Linked DNA regions of Schizosaccharomyces pombe. Changing the gene in region 2 together with the main gene of any one other region gives a genetic interaction. Each region holds a gene or a part of one and is shown on either strand. Other genes may lie near its edges.

Region 1 (4,728 bases), on a different chromosome or scaffold from region 2:
ACATATGCATTTTTCACGACATACCTTTAGGACGGTAAACTACCCAAAACTCCAATATTGTTTTCGGACCATCCAACGTTTTTGATAAAGAATTTACAACTGCTTCAAAACGCCTCGAGGGGACTACTCCTAAAAGATACAGTTCTTGCATAGCATCGCACCTCACCGAAATTGATTTCTTTTATCTCTTAAGCGTCTACTAAAGCTAAGCTACTGATGGTTGTAGAAATAGTGAACAAAATATACAATGCAATGTCAGTAGTAAGGGAAAATTGCTGTTGGAAGCCTAATGAGCAGTGTTTTCAACGCGGTGTAGTTAGCTATGTAACGAACGACCTTAACGATGAAAGAATGAGAATCATTATGAATCGCCATTATGGAACATAGTATTGATCCAATATTTCTTTCACATTTTCTTCGAATTGATACTATTATTGCTTTATTTCCTTTAATAATATTGAGCGCCGTGTTACTTGATTCTTGATTAAATAATCAAACTATAATAGTAAAACAATTCGGTCAACTAATATTTATACCAACATATTTGATTTTTGGGACGTTGTGGTAAACGCCGCATAAAATAAACTTTATATTAGAAAGACGATATAACTTAAGTTGCTATCGAGGTCCAACAAAGCTGAACACTTCAATAACGAATCATTATGAACATGATATCCAAACATTATAGAAATTGAAAATGGAAAGTGATTTCTTATGCATTGTATAAGAGCAAACAGAGTTTAAAAAGAAAACAATAAAAGATTAAAAAAAACTATTTAGCGGTATTAATAATACCAGTTAAACCAATAAAAACATATTAAATGTGAGCTTTTCGAAATGGAAAAAGACCGCCAGGTTAATCAATATCGAGTCACTACGTTTGACCAATTGACTATGTTAAATTAATGTGATAAGTAAACTTTCCGTGTGCTCTCAATTGTTAAAGTATACGCAGAAAACGATATTGTAAAACAAAAATCATCAGACGTTAACGATTTTAACTTTATTTTGTCCATTTCACAACTAAAAGACTAGCAAAGGCTAGCAACAACGAATTAGGAGGAGTAAAGACGGCATAAGACCACCATAAAACTTTGGCACACTCGCGTTCAAATACACCATTCAGTTGGCAGATTTGTGTTAATTGAATGGCGGTTGGGCTTCCCACAAGCAAGAAAATAACAACAACAAAAACAGGATCATCAACAGTACTTATTTCACTGAAGTATGAGAGTAAACTGAAAGCGGGTAATAATGCCAGAGGAACAACTACCATACGGCCAAGAAGACACACAATAATTACTCGAGTATCGTTATTTTTACGGACTTCTTGAGTAGGTTCAGTTTTGGAAATATCAGTAGCAAGACTTGCTCCCAAAACTACCAAAATCATAGGAACAGCAACTTGACCAGCCATTCGAATACCACTGGTGATGCTACCTTCAACGAACGAACCTTCTTCGAAGAAAAAGCGTTGCAGAGGAGGAACAACAGCAATAAATAAGGCGATAAATAAGGAGTATAAAGGAGGGCTGAAGAAATCTAACAGTAAAACAATAAACTTCGAGATCTTCGAAGAGGCTGCTCCAAACCCACCAACTTCTTCGTTAGAGGTTTCAACTTGAACGTTGTCATTTTTGGAAATCGCAGAAGAATCAGTTTGAACAGTTGAGCCCTCATTTGCCTGAACAGAATTTTGAACCCCATCTACATTTGCACTAGAAGCCAACAAATTCTGAATTTCTTCTTCATTAACATCGCTATGTGACCAAGAACGGTTACCGATAGGTAGAGGGTCCTCCGGTTGATTCGGAGAAAGGAGAATACGATAACCATAGGACCAACGAAGAGCTTGACCTAACTGAGAGAAAATAAGCAAATACATAATACCGCGTGAAGCAACCTTATCAGGTGTATCATCGGGAATTTTGTCCCATAGCAAATCCTTTACAGTAGTAGCTAAAGAAGATACCAAGGCCAAAGGTAAGGAATTTGACTAAAGAGTTAGTAAACAAAAACAAACGAACAATATTCTTGCAGGTAAGGTACGTACGTTTTGAAACGTTATGCAGGCAGTGGCGAAATTCCTTTGGCGAGGTGTCAGTCGGAAGAGTTTTGCAAGTAAAAATGATATCAGAATAGAACTGAAAGTTAGCAAAGTGAATGACTTAAATACTTACGCTGCGGAGATGATAACATAAAACACGGGTAAAAGAGAAAGATCAATCAGCATCTTCAAATTCAAACCGTTGCCAACTTTTTCAAATACTAGACAAGGAGTAAAGAAATAAACGTTCAGGCTGGATATTACCTGTGTAAAGTTAGTAAAATACTAGAGAACGCAAAGATAAATGAAGAGAAGAAATTTAATAGTTGAAAATTTATTTCTTTATTTCACTGCTCCATTTTTCTTTAAAACGGGGGGTAAAATGAATCATACCTTCTGAGCATCTCTAGGAAGAAAGCCTTTTTTAGCTAATACATAACCACCCAAAGCGATCACAATAACTTCCAAGTCACTTTCGATAATGGGCCTTAGAAGGCTCCAAACATTAATTTGGCCAAGAGAAGAAAAGAATCCCATAATTTTTCACTAAATGACGGATAAAAAGATTGAATCCTTAAGAAAACTTTTTCACTAGTTAAACCGAATTCCACACAACAACAGGAATCAAATCAAGGAAAAGCAAAAAAAAAAAGAAAAAACCAATAAGGTCGATCAACAGTGAAACCGGTTAAAGTATAACAAGAAAAAAAAGTATTTCCTATAAATAATAGGATAAGATTATTATGCGGTCTATCAACAAAAGCTTCTCAAAAAACAGGAATAAGGAGTAATCACTCTAAAAGTAAATTGATCAAAATGTTCCCAACAAAAGTCAATTCAAATGCCAGAAATTTTCAATCGTCAAAGTCTTTTCTCTGCAAACAGCAGAATGAAAAGGGTAGGTTAAGCTGAAAGGCCTGTTTGTTTTCAAGGTATAGGTTAGAACGACAAAAATTCAAAGCCTCAAAGTCAGTAAACCGCGTGGAGAAACATTGTTACTTAGAATGGCAAACTGACGCATGAAACTGATAGGTAAAAAAAAGATACACAGAAACAATTATTGAGGCTTTATGAAATACTTTCTTTACAAATTAGGGAAAAATAAGATGCTTGTAAGGAGAAATGAAAGAAGAATTCGGCCAATCCATAAATGATCTCTATAACGTAATCAGACTTAGATTTCGTTGTTTTAGGATTTTTAATATTTACGGCAGATCAATTAAAAAAATTACATTAATTTCGAACACCTTCAAGTTTCTCAAAATAAAAAATGAATGTTGATTGATTTTAGTATGGTCGAAAAAAAAAGGGATATACCTACCTGACACTTATTATAGAATCCGTTGAGTCAACTTGTATTCCATTATGAAATTTCTTTTTTATTCGTAACATAATGGTGTTTGTTAAAAATAATATAAAATATTTTAACGTAACGCTATAATTATAAGTTGTGGATAGCAAGGAATTGATACCAATGATAGTATTGTCGAGGATTCACTGTCAAACCATTTTATTTTCTGTTGTTGTAGAAAAATTTAATTGTCCTTAAATTTTCGATCAAACTCGAAAAACTTTTGTTGAAGCTGTACTAAACATCAGATTGGTTTGTGCATGATTGCATTCATTACCGCATAGGTTCGGTTGTGAAATAGCTAAAGCGTTAAATAGCAGAACAATCGTACACAACTTTGTGTAACTTAAATGTGAGTTTTAGCAGAAGATAGCTAGTTTTTATACATTTTCTGCTTTATTGGTTTTGTTTTCTTTATGTCTTCCTTGCAATTTTCTGTTTGTTTTCGAAACATCTGCCGAAGCTCTAACTTTTGCACCTACTGCTCCCAACAATTTTTGCCATCTTTACCAGGTCACATGTTCCTTGCGATGTGGACAGGTTCAATGAAGGTTGGAAGTTTGAAAGCATGTTTGAACATTATAGAAGTATAGACTGGATTCAAAGGGACGAGATTTTATATACAGTAGCAATATTTTAATATGTAACACCGTTTTTCCTGGTTATTTTTATCAAGAGCTTATTGTGTTTGCATGTAAAGATGTATACAGAAGTCCGTAGATAAATTAATACAGTGTTCTATTGTTATGCTTAATTAATTGCTTCCCAAGTATTAAAAATCCTTTGAGAGGTTCCTCTTTTTATCAGTCACGTAACAATTTACGTTAAACCTTCAGTTCTTCATTTGTAGTAAATATTTAATTACAAAAATGGTGAAATTTTTTTAACAATTCTCATGTCGTTAATCAATGAAATGCTTGACAAACAAAATCAGCCAAAAGAAGTGAAATAACTCTGTAGTTAGTAGAATCATAGCACTTAGTCTTGAGAGTTATTATCAATAAATTTTTTATCATATAAATTAAAAAAAAGAAAAGCATGAGGTTTTATTAGTGAGTACAAAAAATTTAACTAATATCAATCAGTTTCTATATTATTTCTTTCCAATTTTTATTTTATTTATTTATTTTTTTTAACTTCACTGCATCCTTACTGTATTGTTAATTACTCCTTTCTTGTTGAAAATAAACGGAAGTAACTGCAGTCATATAAAATTTTGAAGCGATATTTTGCAAGGAAATTTGACGCATCATTAATGGGGAACAATTTTTTTGTCAATTAAATCTATTTACTTTTTTTTTTTTTATTTAAAGCAAGCTTAAAATGGGCC
Region 2 (8,008 bases):
ATTCTTGGAGAGCTGTTAAATATACAAATAAGCCTAAGGAAGAAGACATCAAACTCCCAAATTCTGCATCAAATCTTCCAACTACTGTACAAGCATGTGTGATACAGTTTATCTCTTCTCTAGTTAGTCCGGTTCACCCTCAATTGCTTTCGCCTGAAGAACTAGCAAAAGCATTTCAAAACTTTTACAAGCATACCGATGAGTTTATTGCTTCAACCCTTATCCCTCAACCCTCTTCAAAAGATCAAAATGTGCCTCTTTTGTTTCCTGAGGAAATAGATGCTCAGAAAAAGGCGAGACAACACTTGCTGAACCAAAAAGATGAATGGATGGACCAAATTGAAGATATAGTTTGCGAATATTTGTATGATCGGTATGTGATTACTTCGCCTACAATAACTGTTTACTAATATTGTGTTAGGATTTTCTGTTTATCTACAAGTACGGATGCTGCCAAAGATGACTTGTTAAAAAAATTTATTGCTTCTGAAGAAAAGAAAGAACTTATCAATTGCATTCCAATACCTGATGATGAAAAACTTACAAACCGGTTACATGAAGTCTCTGAAGCATTTTTTGCTCTCGATGAGCAACACACACCTAGATCGAAAATAAACACTTTTATGACCGTTAATTCAAGTATATTGAATGCCTCTCAACTTCCTCAAGAAGAATTGAATGCTGATTCTTTATTAAATTTGACCATATATTGCATTCTCTGTTATCCCGGATTTCATTTAATATCGCACCTGAATTTTGTGTTACGCTTTCGAAATGCAGATTTTTTAAGCGGAGAGCAAAGATACTGTCTCACAACTTTTGAGGCAGCCCTTACTTTTATTCTTCGAGCTTGTCCAAATCTTTTAACTCAATCGTCAATTCAACCCTCTGATGATCCTCTTTCACTTGAGGTAGCTAATAGCGAAACAGTTTCGACCTCTAACTCGCTTCATGATCCGAGTGCAGAACCCTACCCTGTGAATCGCTCATCTTTATCTAATTTAAGAAATCTGGGACTAGCACTTGAGAAATCTTATGCCTCTCTACTTAGTAAAGTAGCCAATCACACTGCCAAAAGTTCAGAAGATTCTTCCAATTCTGTAGAATTCGTGGGCGACCCACCTTTGGAACGCTTTTTGACTGTTTCTGATGCTAGCGATCTTAAAATCGGTGAAATTGAACTTCTTCTTTCTGACTATAAGCGCCTCGCACGTTTGCTTTTTGAGAAAAATGGTAATCAGTAATTTTGACTGAATATTTTCTTTAAAAATTTCACATCCAGTTGGTTTTCGGCTTTGTTTATGGTTATTTGATTCATTTGAGAGACAAAGTCATATAGAAAAGTTATATGATTGATCAATATTTTTTTTTTCTTTGTTGCAGGTCAATTCGTGAACAGCTTAAAAGTTTAAAAGAAAATTTTTATTCAAAACAAGGATTGATTATTCCTTGACGTCTATTTTATTAATGTATGAATATCACAAAGAACTAGCAAAAATGATTTAAGCTTGTATGTTGACGCAAAGATTGCATGCGAATTAAATCCTTACAAAGGAAATATATGAAACGAATATATCATGTTACTGCAAAATTTTTAAATATACTGAATAAAATGAACTGTGATTCTTTGCTCAGTGAAGAAAATAGTCATATTTGAAACTAGGAATTAAACACACAATCACAAACTTCGGATTATAATGGGTAAGAAAGTTTTTTAAGTTGTCACATTATATATAGTAATGTTTAAAATATATTTCGGATAATCATATATATCTTAATTACAATAAAGAAGCGTGATTTTGGTACATGAATTTATATACACTTTCAAAATATACGTTCATTTTTTTATTTAAAATTTCTCTTAAGGCTATTTTATTTCAATGCGATAATCGAGTGCTGTGTGGACATCAAATGATTGGTTGCACTAAATGTTTATAGTGAATAGTGTAATTTACTTCCTTAGAAACCTAGATTTTGAAAAATTGCAGTCGCGCTTTAATAAGTCTACTTCGAGAGTGAGAATGCAGCATTAGCTTGTGGTTATGGAAAATGACGAGGCTTTTGATAGATTAATAAGAAAAATTCAGGAAAATCAAAAACACCCATCTTTCGAAGGGTCCAATAAAGTTTTGCATTTGGCGCTTTCATACCTAAATACTAACAGACAAAACCCTCATTGGGTTTGTGATCCTAAATTACAAGTAGCAGTTCGTGAATGTCTTTTTCTATTTTCTTTTCAAAATGATAACGAGTATCTGGTATGGTTCAAAAAACATTTGAACGAACGCCTTCAGTTATGCCCCAAATGTATAGTTAAATATCACCAATCTTTAGATGATTTCAAAAGTCTATGTTTAAACATTTTTCACTTTGACCCAAATACTCTTGAGATTGTAATGGAGAAAATTTATAGTTGGGACATTTTTCGGTTACAGGAAGTTCTCAAAACAGTGCCTAAAATCGACACGTCCTCGGCCTCTAAACCTATACTATGCGCCTTCTACGAAATCTTATACTCTCCTCGTATTTTACATAATAAAGAAATCTTTCCCTTGTTCCGAAACAGATTTCTTGAGTCCGGTTTTCTTCGGCTCTCGAAAAACCTAGTGCCAGGTGTCATAAGTCTTCTCTTCTCGAGAGATGATGAGCTCCGAAGATGGGCTTGCAGTATTTTAAGTGATGTAAAAACAATCTCCGATAATGAATTTAAAATCCTTGAGGGTCCCCTTCTTCAGGAAATTCGTTCTTTAGACCAGAAGAAAGAAAATGAGAACGAGATGCAAATTTTTCTGAAAGGTTTATCGTTGCTGTTAAAGCATGTTGATCATCTTTATTTTAGGGGACTTACAGGAAAAAATTTCAATGTCGCCGATTTTATTCTTTCGGGATTGCAAAGCGACCATACTAATTTATGTCCGTCTTTCCTTGTATGTTTACATTCTTTGTTATACTGCTATGGACGTAATTTTTGGACGCCAGAAATTTCTCCCAGTGAAGTAATAGATAAAATTTTTAATGGTAATGCTTATAAGAGGTGGACAGAAGAAAATACATCCAATTTTTCAAACGACCAAAAGGCAGAGAATCCGTTTGAATGGGCTACCTCTCTTTTGAAGACAATTTCAATCATTGATGAAGTTGAATTAATTAACAAAATTTTGATTAATTACACCATGCAATATAAAAAGGAACTGGAAGTCGGTTTCAAAAATGTTCAGTTACTTCAATCACTTGCTGACATATTTTCAGTTTTGTTTTCCGAATATTTTATGATTTTCCCCCATAGTGATCAAAGTTTACAAAACAAAGTATTTGAATTACATTCCACTTTAGCGATTAAGTTTGACGAGCTGTTTCGTTTGCTAAACTTGGAAAATGAAGAGTCTGTTGAATGGAGGCTTATTAAGAAAGTTTTTGAATACCGATTGAATTTAGATCTTTATATTTTGAAGCAATTCTATTGCCATTATTTGGACAGAAATAGAAAGCCACCCTTGAATATCAAATCGGTAAGTGAGTCTTTTAAAAATTTTTGGGTATATTTGCAAAACGTATTTCGAGAGGAGAAGTTCTTTATGGTTCGTATTGTTTTTCGTGCTTGCTCTACAGTTTGCTTGATTGATAAGTTGCCGCCTAAGAAAGTTGACATTCCGTTCAAAAGTGATTTCGAAAATGCACTAAACGGATTTGTTGCAACATTTTCTGAAATGCTTATTCAGACTCAATGTTGGCATTTGTCGGCACAAACCCAATTGGTTTCAAATCCTTTAACTTTTCGTGGAATCTTTTCACTCGTTTTTTCTCCAATTCTTGAGATCTCAACAGGAAGTATCTCAATTATTAAATCTATTTCGCTTTCTGACAGCGTTGTTGATACTATAGGAGAGCTATTGAGAAGCCAGTTTTCAAATACACTAAATTCTTCATGTTATGTTCTTCTGCAGTGGCTTAAAGTCAGAAACTTTGGAGGAGCCAAGCACATTGTTTATTTTAATAAATTAATTATAAACACTATTTTTGACTCTGTTGATGGCTTAACTTCTAAGGATGCGACTTTTGCAAAACAAGTGGAAAAGAAAGAATCCCTTAAGAATTTCTGGGAATCGTTATGGAAATTCTTTACTCATTTTTTCATTGTTCTTCCTACTTGGCCAGTTCATGATAAGGACAATTTAGTTGATTTAATGCGGGATACCCTTGATTTTTGCGATATGCTCATTAATATTTTTGAGGAAGTTAACGGATTCATTTTTGGATTATCGGATAACGATATTAAAATTGTTTCGGCTAATGATAAGGGCAGTGCTTTAGCTATGTGTATAGCTGATTCTTTGGTTACTGTATCTTATTGGCTTAAGTTAACTGATTCTTCACTTCTAACATCCGTTGTGAAAGTGATTTGTAAAATGCTTAAAATTTGTAAAAAGTTGGAGTGTCCAATTAGTCAAAATGTGATTGATATTATCCATAGGGCATCAATTACCAGTGATGAACAAACAATTCTTACATTCACTGAGAGAGAGGATCTTTTTATATCGCTCACACCATACCTTTCAGAAGACGTTCTTAATCACTCTCCTTTCAATGATACCAATACGCTTGAAACTAAGTTACAGAGTGATGATCGGGGTTTGCTTTCTAAAGACCAGACTATTGGGATTGCGAAAAAATTACCTGAGTCAAACATTAGTACTTCAAATCATTTTTTGCTTCCTCCGAAGGCTATTTCTGCTTCTAAAGCCATCAATAGAAATGCTCAAAAATCTCAAAATTTAAATTTTTTGAAATCTAAACAAGAGACAACACAGCGAATTCGCGAATCCGCGAAAGTTCCAAGAACCAGTGCGGGGAACCATCTTTCTGAGAAACTTAATTCGGATAATCATATACCAAAAGCTTTGCAAAAGCTCGATTCTGCTGACCCAATTCGCAAGCCTTCACTTTTGCACACTTCTAAAAGTTATTCTAATCCAGATGACAAAAATACTTCAACTTCCGATGAAGATACCTCGGAGTCCGAAGAAGAGTCTAGTAACGGTCTATTCTCGCTTGCACGTGAAGCTAATTCTCATGCCTCTAAATCTCTTCCACAAAGAAGGCAGATTCAGTTCTTGGACTTTGATTCCCTTAAAACAAAAAATGTAGTTCATCCTACTCAATTGCGCCGTAATACTCAACAAAGTGCACAACTTGCTCGACTCCGGCTAAACCCTGATGTTCAAGAGTTTTACAAAGTAATTTTGGGTTGGAACCCATTAGCTGATTCTTTTTCGGCGTCTAATGTTGAGATGCAGTGCGTCCAAGCTAAATTCACGTATAATGATTCAAACGCTTATGAGAAAGTTTTCAAACCAATGTTGTTTCATGAATGTTGGGCTCAAGTGAAAAGTGCCGTTGAAGAAAAGCAATACCCTCCCATAGATTTAATCCTCAACACCCGCAGTACAGTTGATAACTTTGTCGATATTTACTTTACGTCCTGTTCACCTACCGAAGTCTCTTTTTTAAGTGATACAGATATTTGCTTACTGTCAAAATCACAAAGTTCGGGCGATACTAATAACCCAAAATCTTTTCAGTTGTGCAAAATTCAATCCATTTCTCGTAAAAAAGAATCACTTGAACTCTGTCTGCGGATGAATATTGAATCAATTGATCTACAGGAGTATGCACCGAACATTAGGTTCACAGCACAAAAATTATTTAATGCTACTACTAGCTTACGTGAATTTGCTGCTTTAAAATCTCTTCGCCATTTACCATTGTCTCAGAGAATTCTGGATGCCAATGTAACGCGTCTACCTTCAAATTTTACAGATGACAAAAAGCAAAAAATAATGAAGTCTTATGGTGTAAATGAACCCCAGGCATATGCGATTTATGCATCTTCTGTAAATGATGGTTTTACGCTCATTCAAGGGCCTCCTGGAACTGGAAAAACTAAAACCATTCTAGGCATGATTGGAGCTGTACTTACTTCTTCTAGTCAAGGGTTGCAATTTAATGTCCCAGGACAGACGCGAAAAACCTCAAAGAATAAGATTTTAATATGCGCTCCTAGTAATGCAGCCATAGATGAAATTCTCCTTCGTATCAAAGCCGGTGTTTACGATCATGAGGGTATCAAATTTTTTCCAAAAGTTATTCGTGTTGGATTTGGTGACTCCATAAGCGTTCACGCTAAAGAATTTACTTTGGAAGAGCAAATGATAAAGCAAATGGAACTTACGAACCTAAAGAAAGATCAAGAAGCAAACAATTCCAGTGATACTCGGAAAAAATATGACTCAATTATTAAAAAAAGGGACTCTTTACGCGAAGATCTAGAAAAGTTTCGTAGTACTGGAAAAAATAGTTCAATATTGGAAGCACAGCTTCGTGAGATTACCAAACAGAAAAACATGCTTGAACAGAGCCTTGATGATATGAGAGAACGTCAACGCTCAACTAATCGTAATCTGGATGTTTTGAAAAAACAAATACAAAATCAACTACTTCAGGAAGCTGATATTGTATGTGCTACCTTATCTGCGAGTGGTCATGAACTACTTTTAAATGCGGGTTTGACTTTTCGAACTGTCATAATTGATGAAGCTGCACAAGCCGTTGAATTAAGTTCAATCATACCTCTTAAGTATGGCTGTGAGAGCTGTGTAATGGTTGGTGATCCGAATCAGCTTCCTCCTACTGTGCTATCAAAAACCTCTGCAAAGTTTGGATATTCACAATCTCTATATGTCAGAATGTTCAAACAGCATAATGAGAGCGCTTGTCTTCTTAGCATACAGTATAGAATGAATCCTGAAATTAGCCGATTTCCCAGCAAGTTTTTCTATAATTCAAAACTACTTGACGGTCCCAATATGTCAGCAGTGACATCTCGACCTTGGCACGAGGATCCGCAGCTAGGTATTTATCGATTTTTTAATGTTCACGGGACGGAAGCTTTTTCCAACTCAAAGTCTCTGTACAATGTGGAAGAGGCTTCGTTTATTTTATTATTATATGAGAGGCTAATTCAATGTTATCTAAACATTGATTTTGAGGGGAAAATTGGAGTTGTTACCCCTTATAGAAGTCAAGTACAACAGCTTCGATCACAATTTCAAAGAAAGTATGGTTCCATTATATTCAAGCATCTTGATATTCATACCGTCGATGGGTTTCAGGGACAGGAAAAGGACATTATAATTTTTTCTTGCGTTAGGAGTTCGATGAGCGGTGGAATCGGTTTCCTTCAAGATCTTCGTCGGCTTAATGTAGCTTTAACAAGAGCTAAATCATCTTTGTATATCGTAGGCAATTCTAAACCGCTAATGCAAGAGGATATTTTTTATAGCTTGATTGAAGACGCAAAAACTCGTGGTGTTTGGAGAGACTTGAGTGCTAATCAATTTAAGAACTCAAAAAGTATATCAAACGTTTCGACACACCTCGCATCTAACAATTTAAATTTAGCCTCACGGGATACCCCAATTAAGTCGCCGTCGGTTGGTATCTGTGAGGAAAAACAAGAAGCACATAAAGTCAAAAAACGGCACAATATAGATAGTGCTAATTTGTCAAGAGGAACTGAGAGAGATGAAGATATACCGAATAAGCGCGCTAAGAACAAAGTTTCCACTGATCAGACTGCTGCTGATAATAAGGTCACGAAACCACGCCTTGATGAATCATCCAGTTCCAAGCAAGATGTGTTAAACAAAATAGACGAATCTGAAATTGAACAAGCGTCTTCCAAAAAGCCGGGTTATGTGGAAAAAAATAAAGATAAAGGCCATATGAAAAAATCAAAAAAGCCCAAATCGAAACTTGCTCTGGCGGCGATGGCCCACGGTTTTGCACCTCCAAAAGTTGAGCATTTCAAAAGGAAGTAGCCGATTTAGGTTTTAGTATGAGTATTTTACAGTATTACTTTTTTAATAACACGAGTAGCGGGACGTTTTCAATCATTTGAATCTTAGACATAGTTTATTTATTAATATTTCTCCTATCTAAAAATGATTTT
Region 3 (3,741 bases), on a different chromosome or scaffold from region 2:
GTTTCCAAATTGTTACTATCTAACGAGTACGATTTAAAAGAATTACCGTTTATGGAAACTTTGTTGAAGGACGAAACTGGCTCGCGTATTCTGGAGGTCATCGTTGAAAACATGTCAGCCTCTCATCTACTCAGATTTTATGCCGTCTTTGAAGGACGTTTTTATCGGCTTTGTGTTCATCCTATAGCCAATTTTATAATGCAACGTTACATAAGAAGGTTGGGAAGGAAGGAGATTGGTTCTGTCATTGATGAATTAAAGAAGAATACAGACAACATCATTAGGAAGTCATTTCTTCCAGTGTTAAGGACATTACTTGAGAAGAGTAACCATTTACATTGTTATCAAGATGACATATTTTCAATGATTCAGACAAGCGTAACAAATAGTGGAAAGGATGCCAACATTATTCCATGCTTGCTCCGATCGAAGCATAAACGTGATAAAGCCAACCCAGAAAACAAAGAGCGTAAACTTGTTAATAATTTACTGGGTGCTCAACTGTTAGAAGAAATGCTTCACTGTGAGAAACAACATATTCAGTTATTATTAGATAGCGTTTTAGATCTCTCAAAAGAGCAGATTTTGGAATATTGTCTGGAAACAGTATCCTCTCACTTGATAGAAGGAATTCTTGATTTATCAGACTTAAACCCGGTATTTCTTAAAAAATTTCTCAATATCCTTTCCGGATCATTTGCTACATTAGCTGTTTCTGCTCCTGGTTCGCATATTGTAGATAAAGCGTGGAAGGCCACAAGGGCATTGCCGCTTTATCGTACAAGAATTGTTCGTGAGTTGGCTGAAGGTGGTGACGACGTCAAATTTGATTTCTATGGCAAAAAAGTTTGCTCAAACTGGAAGGTCGAGCTTTTTCGTCGAGCTCCTGATGAATGGTATCGTTTCATGAAACAGGATGAACCATCTAAGCGTGTTCATGAACGTGCACGCCAGTATGGTCGTATTGTTTCTGGCAGTTCAGCCAATACTCAGCCTTTGGGGGAGAAGCGCAGCACTGAAAATGATGAAGAGCTTGAGTCCGGTCCTAAAAGAGTGAAAGTCTGAAGGAGAAAAGGTTTCCATTGGTTAAATTGAAATGCACGGCATTTTTACGTCTCGCCAATTTAAGCATGGCATTTTGTTGGTCAAAAAAAAGTTATGTTTTTAATTTAGGTAATATAGGTATTTAATTTTGTTGCGGTTTGCTATGTATAGAGGCGCTTTTGCAGAGTAAGGAAGTAAACTTTGTAAAAGGAATTGTATTTCTAATTATGAATTGATCAACTGAAGAAGAGGTTTCGAATTTTTTGAATTGTTCTACCACTAATAATTTGTGTTTTGTATATTTGTATTCAAATGTTTTGCCTTATTTCTCTAAGGTGGTTTCTAGGCTGAAAAAGAATTGACAGAGGTTTTGAGCTGATTTTCATTGTCAAATAGTATTCACTTTATTTTTATCTTATGCTTAATTACTAAAGTATTTCGTTTATTAAGCAATGAGATTTTGCATTTGTTAATTTGATACAGCAATAATTCGCTTCTTAAATGAAGACAAAAAGTGTTAATTTATGGTATTAGGATAGAGTTGACCTAAATATGCTTTTATAAAGAAAGCTTGGCCAAAGAATTGTCTACATTTTATTGCCGTTTCGAAATACCGATGACAGAGGTGATACAGCTTCTAAACAAAATTAAACAATTTTAAACATAATAAAGAACCAAAGGAAAAAAAAGGAATCGATCAATCTCATGCCTTAATGCTGGTACAAGTTTCTTCTGAAGAATCATTCTTATAAATATTACAAATTCTTTACCGTAATACGAGAGAATACGTTATGCAGATTTAAGCATTTTAGAGAATTCTTATTTTATGAAGCACGGTACCGCAAAAGAATTTCTAGCAAGTTTGCAAGCTACAACAAACTGTCTCTCTACTCAATTATACAATTGCCATTGACTTGGCAAACTCCTCTCTACGAGTATTTAAAAGATGGAAATCGACGACATTTTTGCTTCTAAAAAGGCAAACCCTGCAAATGAAAAGTCAAATGACTCAAAGTCGGAGGCGAAAGCCCCTAAGAAAGGAGCCAAGACAAAATCTACTCCAAGTCGTCCAAAACCTACTAATAACCAAGACGATTTATTTTTAGATCCAAAGGGAGCCTCAGGAAGTAAGACACTTTTTGCCGTTTGATAGTTCATCCTTACATACGTTCTCGCTACTTGGTTAATGATTGCATTCGTTCATGTTTGGCATCCGCGTTGTTTGTCAATTCTTTGACCTCAAATTCATATTTATTGTCTAAAAGATTGAGAAACTTCGAACTGTGCTATATACTTATTTATTTATTATATACTGCTAGAGCTAGATTACGTTTTTCTAGGGAGATACATTTCACAATGATGTTTAGTGTTGGTGGAGACTCCAAATCATTAAGCTCTATTGTGTGGTATTGAACCTTATTCGCTATTCTGTTTACGGGAATGTTTGCCGAACGATGCAATACTTACCTAGCAACGGCACTTTTCTCCTTATCATCAGTAATTGTATTAACGTTTTGTGTTTTAGGAAAGCGTACCGAGGAAGGGTTTCTTGTATATGACGAGGAGGAATTAAACATTGGCCAAGGTGGAGGTACACCGGATTGCCCTTTTGATTGTCAGTGTTGTAAGTAACTTATTCATTGCATTTAAAAACTTTTCCATGGCATTTTTTCTCTTGCTAGCTCTATACTAATACTAATACCTTAAGGTTTTTGATCTCAACGTCGTTGTCGTTTTTTCAGGTTGGTTACCGTTTTTTTTTGGCTTGTCATACTTAATCTATGTTTTCTAATATCATCCATGATCCAGTTGTTGAAGCGTAGACATTTTCATAGCCGTGATTATCCTGTTTATTAGTGGTAGTGTCTTTCAATCAAACCTTTTACTGGTTTAATTCAAAAAATAGTTGATTTGTCCCTTTGGCAACAAAAGGTAAATAAACAATCCCTGGGTCTGTGTTTACACTTGTATTGCGTTGTTGTGATATGGTTCGGTAATCCATGCAATGTAAACAAATAGTGACTTGTTTTGCGGTAAAGTGAAGCATAAAATTCAACAATTGTCGTCATAGCAACGGAGTAGCTATTTGATATAAACAAATAGCCAGCGCACCAAACATTGCTGTAACAAACAAAAAAAAATCGAAGAGTGATTAGTTCAATCATCTACTGGGTTAGACTGGCTTTGAGCCACACTTTCATCTCACTTCAAGTTATCAAGCACTCTTTTCAAGAGTCATTTCTCTCATCGTTCTCTCCTTGATTTCTCTACGCATTGCACTAGATACTCGCTATCCTAAGTAAACAAGACAATGTCGCTTTCATATTTATCATCTTCTTCGCAAAAGTCGTTTGAATCATTTCGACAAGAAGAGAGTCCAGCTTGTAATCATTCGTACCAAAGGGATTATGAAACTTTTGGCGATAGCAAGCATACTTCTTTTTCCTCCTTCGCTCCCTTTGAAAATGAGGTGTCTTTAAATCAAGCTGTTATCCCTTCACCGCCTTCTCATCTTCAGAACTTTCAAGATCAGTTTGACTATAGTTCTGTTCTAAAAACACCGTTTAACCCTTTGTTGGAAGCGAATTCTGCATACTTTTTATCGAACCAAATATCGCTCCCCGACTCTCACTCGTATGCATCCTCCTTTGATGCTTCCTTATCACCCCCTTCCTCGCCTTTAACTTGCGTATCACA
Region 4 (5,533 bases), on a different chromosome or scaffold from region 2:
CTTGCAGAAAATACAACATAAGTGATGAAGATTTGGCAAATCCTAGCGAACTTACTCAAGAACCCGTTGTAGTTGTAGGACGAATTGTTGTCGAAAGTACCAATTTAGGTGGAAGACTCAACCAAAATAGCATTTTACTTGAAAGTTCAAGACGTCTAGGCGCTGGTGTTCGAGTTCGTTTGAAGGTGGATGATCTACCAAGTTACTCAATATTTCCTGGTCAAATTGTTTCAGTTAAAGGATCCAATCCTAGCGGTAACATGTTTATCGCCAAGGAAATCCTTCCTATACCTCCTTTGCCGTTCCCAAGTTCATCTAAACAGGAGCACGCTACCTTTGTTGCTAATACAAATAATCAGCCAATTTCTATATATATTGCATCTGGACCTTGGTCTCTCCGTGATGATCTCTCTTTTTCCCCTTTAAAATCAATGATTTCATATGTAAATAAAAATCCTGTTGACTTGGTTATTCTATGTGGTCCATTCTTGGATATTAATCATATACTAATACGTACCGGAAACATTACAGGAACGTCTGCGACTTCTTTGGAAGAGTTGTTTAAAGAGCGTGTCACACCCATATTAAGCCAGCTAACTTGTCCTTGTATTTTAATTCCTCACATCAATGATGCTGCTTCAGATCATCCTGCATGGCCACAGGATGCATTTAATCGGGTGGCCTTAGGTCTTCCATCTGTATGTTAAGTTGTATAATAATTTTTATTGACCAATCCATAGAACTTCAAATGCTTCCCGAATCCTTGCATGTTTTCCATTAATGATGTCGTCTTTGGTGTGTCAACCAACGATATACTCCTTCACACATCTAGAGAAGAGTTATTTCGTCTACCTTCTCATGGTAACTTATTTGCACGTTTGGTTTCTCACGTACTTCACCAAAGGCATTTTTATCCCTTATTCCCTGGAGGTTCTCTTGAAAAGTGCAACCCTTCAAACTTAGATATCGCACATCTTAAACTTGGTGAATTCCTAAATACTATGCCGGACATACTAATTTTACCAAGTGATTTACGTTATTTCGTAAAGGTATGTTAATTTTCTACTTTGTTTTAACTAATGTTATAGAACGTTGAAAACGTTGTATCATTGAATCCTGGTAAAGCGACCAAAGGGATTAATTTGGGCACTTTTGCAAAATTAACTATCGCGCCATTAGAGCTCGGGGATAATGGTTCTTCTAATCATTATTCACATCGTGTATGGCTTCGAACCAAGGCAGAAATTTTAAAACTATGATAATTATACTCTCTTTTTCTGCGGAATTTATTGAAAATATAAAAAATTCAGCGTTAAATATCATTGGTTATCATTATTTATGTAGATGTCTACCATAGACCGTTAGAATTAATTAACTTTTCAGCTTTCATTTTCTATCTATCGCTATTTTGGTTTTCTTCAAATTTTGTTTGCAAAATTACTCATATGTTTATGTTGTTAATTTAACCATTTTCCTCAAATGTCTAAGACAATCTCTGATATATCTCAAATCGCTACTCGCGAACTTTTAGTCGTTGTTTTATAGTTGAATGAGTATTCCTTTTATACTGTAGTATTTGAATGTTCAACATTTTTTCGATTTGGACTCTAGTCTTGGTGTTTCACATCTCAACCTACTTAGTCACTACAGTTGACCTCCAACATACATAGGGGAAGTAGTGCAAATGCCTGTTATTCCTCCAGAAAAGCTTGTGTCCTTACAAAAAAATCAGGAAAATATTCGTAATTTTACATTACTTGCTCATGTAGATCATGGAAAGGTATGAATTTTGCAATTTTAAACTTTTTTGAATAGTTGCTAATGATTAATTAAAGACAACCCTTGCAGACAGTTTACTAGCTTCGAATGGAATCATATCTAGCAAACTTGCTGGTACTGTTCGTTTTCTTGATTTTCGCGAAGATGAAATTACGAGAGGTATTACTATGAAGTCTAGCGCCATTTCATTGTTTTTTAAAGTTATAAGCCAAAATGATGAAAAAAGAGTTGAAAAAGATTACCTGATTAATCTTATCGATTCTCCTGGTCATGTTGATTTCAGTTCTGAAGTATCTTCGGCCTCAAGGCTTTGCGATGGTGCATTTGTTTTAGTAGACGCAGTTGAGGGTGTTTGTAGTCAAACAATTACTGTCCTTAGACAAGCATGGATAGACCGTATAAAGGTGATTTTAGTCATTAACAAAATGGATCGTTTGATTACTGAACTGAAACTGTCTCCTATTGAAGCTCATTATCATTTGCTTCGACTTGTTGAACAAGTAAATGCTGTCATTGGCACCTTTTATACTGGTGAGCTTATGCAATTAGCTGATAACGACGAAGTCATCAGTGATGAAGGTATATATTTCGCACCTGAACAGGGAAACGTTGTGTTTGCTAGTGCATACGATGGCTGGGCATTTTGTTTGGACCAATTTTCAGAATTTTACGAAAAAAAGCTTGGATTAAAACAAAAAGCACTTACAAAATGTCTCTGGGGTGATTATTATCTAGACCCTAAAACTAAAAGAGTTCTTCAGCCCAAACATCTTCAAGGCCGACGGTTAAAACCAATGTTTGTACAATTTGTTCTCGAAAACCTCTGGGCTGTTTATGAATCAGCTGTGAGCAATAGGAACCTTGAAAACATTGAGAAAATCATTAAGGCATTAAACATTAAAGTTCTTCCCCGTGACATCAAATCCAAAGACCCTAGAAATTTGCTACTTGCGATTTTTCAACAGTGGTTGCCACTATCAACTGCAATTTTGTTAACAGCGATTAGGGAAATTCCTTCTCCTATTAACGCCCAAGCGAATCGAGCTAGGAAAGTTTTGAGTTCAACTCCTCATTACGAAATGATAGATCCAGATATTACACTGGCTATGGAAAGTTGTGACGCTAGTAAGGAACAGCCTGTTTTGGTATACATAAGTAAAATGGTAGCTTTTTCTGAAAGAGATCTTCCTAATCATCGTCGCAAACAACTTAGTGCTGAGGAGATGAAATTGATACGTTCAAAATTATCTGAATCAATTGAGAGCGGCATAAATACCATTTCTATTGAGGAAAACGTTTCTTCTACCAACTCTGACAATTTAGAAGGTAGCACAACTGACATGGACGATGATAAGGACATTTTAATTGGCTTTGCTAGGATATACAGTGGCACAATTTCAGTTGGACAGGAAGTATATGTTTATGGTCCAAAATATGATCCAGTCAATCCTGAAAAACATATTACCAAGGTAACGGTTGAGTCATTATATTTAATGATGGGACAGGAGCTAGTTTATTTAGAGACAGTTCCCGCTGGTAACGTTTTCGCAATCGGTGGCCTTGCCGGAACGGTTTTGAGAACAGCAACACTATGCTCATCTCCAAATGGTCCTAATTTAGTGGGCGTAACTCAGCAAATGGAGCCCATTGTGCGGGTCGCTTTAGAGCCTGTTCGTCCATTTGAGATGAACAAGTTAGTGACTGGCCTTGACATGCTTAATCAAGCCGATCCATGTGTTCAAATAGCCGTTGAAGAAAATGGAGAGCATGTAATTATGTGTGCCGGAGAGATTCATTTGGAAAGATGTTTAAAAGACCTTAGGGAACGGTTTGCAAAAATTGAAATACAAGCATCTCAGCCACTTGTGCCATATCGGGAAACTACCATAGCTACACCCGACTTATTAGCAAAAAATAAAGAACTGAGTATTGGCTTTGTCACTGCAACGTTACCAGTTGGCGGAGTTACGATTGGAATTACAGTAACACCTCTTTCTGGGTCTGTCGTAGATTTTCTGCTGAAGCACTCTAAAACAATTGAAAATGTTAGCAGCAATTTTTCAAAGAAAAATAGAAACGTTGTTGTCTCGGAATCTTTAACAAAAAGTATGGAGGAAGTGTTGACTCCTGAGAAGTTTTATGAAAGGCTTTCCAAGCTTTTAGAGGAAGAGAACTCTGACTTAGGCGAGCTGAAAAATCATTTGGATAGGTAGGTTATACTAGTGTTCTATTGGTTGATTACTAACAATACTAGTATCATTGCGTTTGGCCCCAAACGAGTGGGTCCTAATATACTTTTTGACAAAACCAAGAAGATGAGAGATTTTCGACGACAAAGCGATGAAACAAAATTAATACCCTCAGACCTTTCTGAATATGTAGTTACTGCATTTCAACTAATAACGCACCAGGGACCATTGTGTGCTGAACCCGTTCAAGGCATTTGTGTGTCAATCGATCAGTTTGACATATCTGATGACTCGGAAGATAGTAAGTTACTTACCATCAATAATCCCCAAATCCCCGGTCAAGTTATTTCGGTAGTGAAAGAGTCTATTAGACATGGATTTTTAGGTTGGTCACCGAGACTTATGCTAGCCATGTATTCTTGCGATGTTCAGGCCACATCTGAAGTCTTGGGTAGGGTATATGGTGTTGTTTCGAAGCGACGAGGACGAGTAATTGATGAAGAAATGAAGGAAGGGACTCCATTTTTTATTGTAAAAGCCTTGATTCCAGTTGTTGAATCCTTTGGATTCGCTGTAGAAATTTTGAAAAGGACATCTGGTGCTGCCTATCCTCAATTAATCTTCCATGGTTTTGAGATGCTAGACGAGAATCCCTTTTGGGTTCCAACTACTGAGGAGGAATTGGAAGATTTAGGCGAGTTAGCCGATCGCGAAAATATTGCTAAGCGCTATATGCTGAACGTTCGAAAAAGGAAAGGCTTATTGGTAGAGCAAAAGATTGTTGAAAAGGCAGAGAAGCAGAGGACACTGAAGCATTAAAGATAGTACTTGATTCCAATTTCTTTAGGAAAACGAAAAGATTGTAATTTGATGACAATGACCTGGTTAGATGGAGGTAATGTTTTTTTTTTTTTTTTTGTTACATTGTTGAGGTAGCTGTGATTTTGAGTTAAGTGTTTCATGAACTATGGGACTAAGATTAGAAGTCTATAAGATGAATAGTGTAAAACGCACATGCAAGATTCTTTAGGCTTCTTTTTGTTATGTTTTAAATTGTTAATACAAATTCAAATTTCCAAAAAATACCGATGTTGTGGGATATGCATAATACAAATAATGATATACTCTACTGCGTAATCGCTAGAAGGTGATAGATTACAGACGCGACGCGCCAAAACACAAACACATCTTTGTACTAATTCAAATTCTAGTATTTTGAAAACTATTCGCCTTAATGTTTTTTGACGGATGGAAAATGCAAAAGATTTTATAGGAGAAACAATAAAGGAGAATGGATTACTTACCATTGAAGATGATGGTAGCAGTAGTTCAGATGAAGAAGCTACTTTAAAACGACGATTGGCAGGCCCTTCTGTTCTCAAGTCAGGACAGGAAAATGTTAATCAAAAAAAGATTAACGAGATAATTTACGAAGCTTCCAAAGGAAGTAAGTTTTTTGAAGCCGAACAAAAACGAGACCGAGAACTTCGTTTAAGAATAGAAAAGGTTCAAGTTGAGGTAGAAAAATACCAATCAAAATTAAGGTTTGATAAAGCGTTTCAAAG

The links.
Region 1: mutations in dbl8 (region 2) and SPOM_SPAC5D6.04 together harm fitness more than expected from each alone (negative genetic interaction), as found in Schizosaccharomyces pombe (one large-scale study listed by BioGRID).
Region 3: mutations in dbl8 (region 2) and SPOM_SPAC6G9.01C together harm fitness less than expected from each alone (positive genetic interaction), as found in Schizosaccharomyces pombe (one large-scale study listed by BioGRID).
Region 4: mutations in dbl8 (region 2) and ria1 together harm fitness more than expected from each alone (negative genetic interaction), as found in Schizosaccharomyces pombe (one large-scale study listed by BioGRID).

The regions. Positions count from the first base shown.
Region 1 is NC_003424.3:1,504,588-1,509,315, forward strand, and holds SPOM_SPAC5D6.04 (auxin family transmembrane transporter), read right to left. Parts: upstream 2,989-4,728; 5' UTR 2,585-2,988; coding exon 2,441-2,584; exon of another isoform or gene 2,312-2,440; coding exon 2,181-2,311; exon of another isoform or gene 2,145-2,180; coding exon 2,054-2,144; exon of another isoform or gene 1,997-2,053; coding exon 1,004-1,996; 3' UTR 501-1,003; downstream 1-500. Other genes in the region: mediator complex subunit Med18, read right to left, coding at 25-151.
Region 2 is NC_003423.3:2,557,162-2,565,169, reverse strand, and holds the start of dbl8 (ATP-dependent RNA helicase Dbl8), read left to right. Parts: upstream 1-2,000; 5' UTR 2,001-2,042; coding exon 2,043-7,877; 3' UTR 7,878-8,008. Other genes in the region: guanyl-nucleotide exchange factor Muk1, read left to right, coding at 1-373, 422-1,244.
Region 3 is NC_003424.3:3,240,582-3,244,322, reverse strand, and holds SPOM_SPAC6G9.01C (uncharacterized protein), read left to right. Parts: upstream 1-1,925; 5' UTR 1,926-1,990; coding exon 1,991-2,171; intron 2,172-2,326; exon of another isoform or gene 2,327-2,569; coding exon 2,570-2,668; exon of another isoform or gene 2,669-2,752; coding exon 2,753-2,760; 3' UTR 2,761-3,205; downstream 3,206-3,741. Other genes in the region: RNA-binding protein Nop9, read left to right, coding at 1-1,065; DNA-binding transcription factor Ace2, read left to right, coding at 3,356-3,741.
Region 4 is NC_003421.2:288,228-293,760, forward strand, and holds ria1 (GTPase Ria1), read left to right. Parts: upstream 1-1,652; 5' UTR 1,653-1,684; coding exon 1,685-1,780; exon of another isoform or gene 1,781-1,835; coding exon 1,836-3,988; exon of another isoform or gene 3,989-4,033; coding exon 4,034-4,787; 3' UTR 4,788-5,003; downstream 5,004-5,533. Other genes in the region: spb70 (DNA polymerase alpha B-subunit), read left to right, coding at 1-698, 741-1,049, 1,089-1,259; kpa1 (DinB-like DNA repair polymerase kappa), read left to right, coding at 5,217-5,533. UniProt on the Schizosaccharomyces pombe protein: GTPase involved in the biogenesis of the 60S ribosomal subunit and translational activation of ribosomes.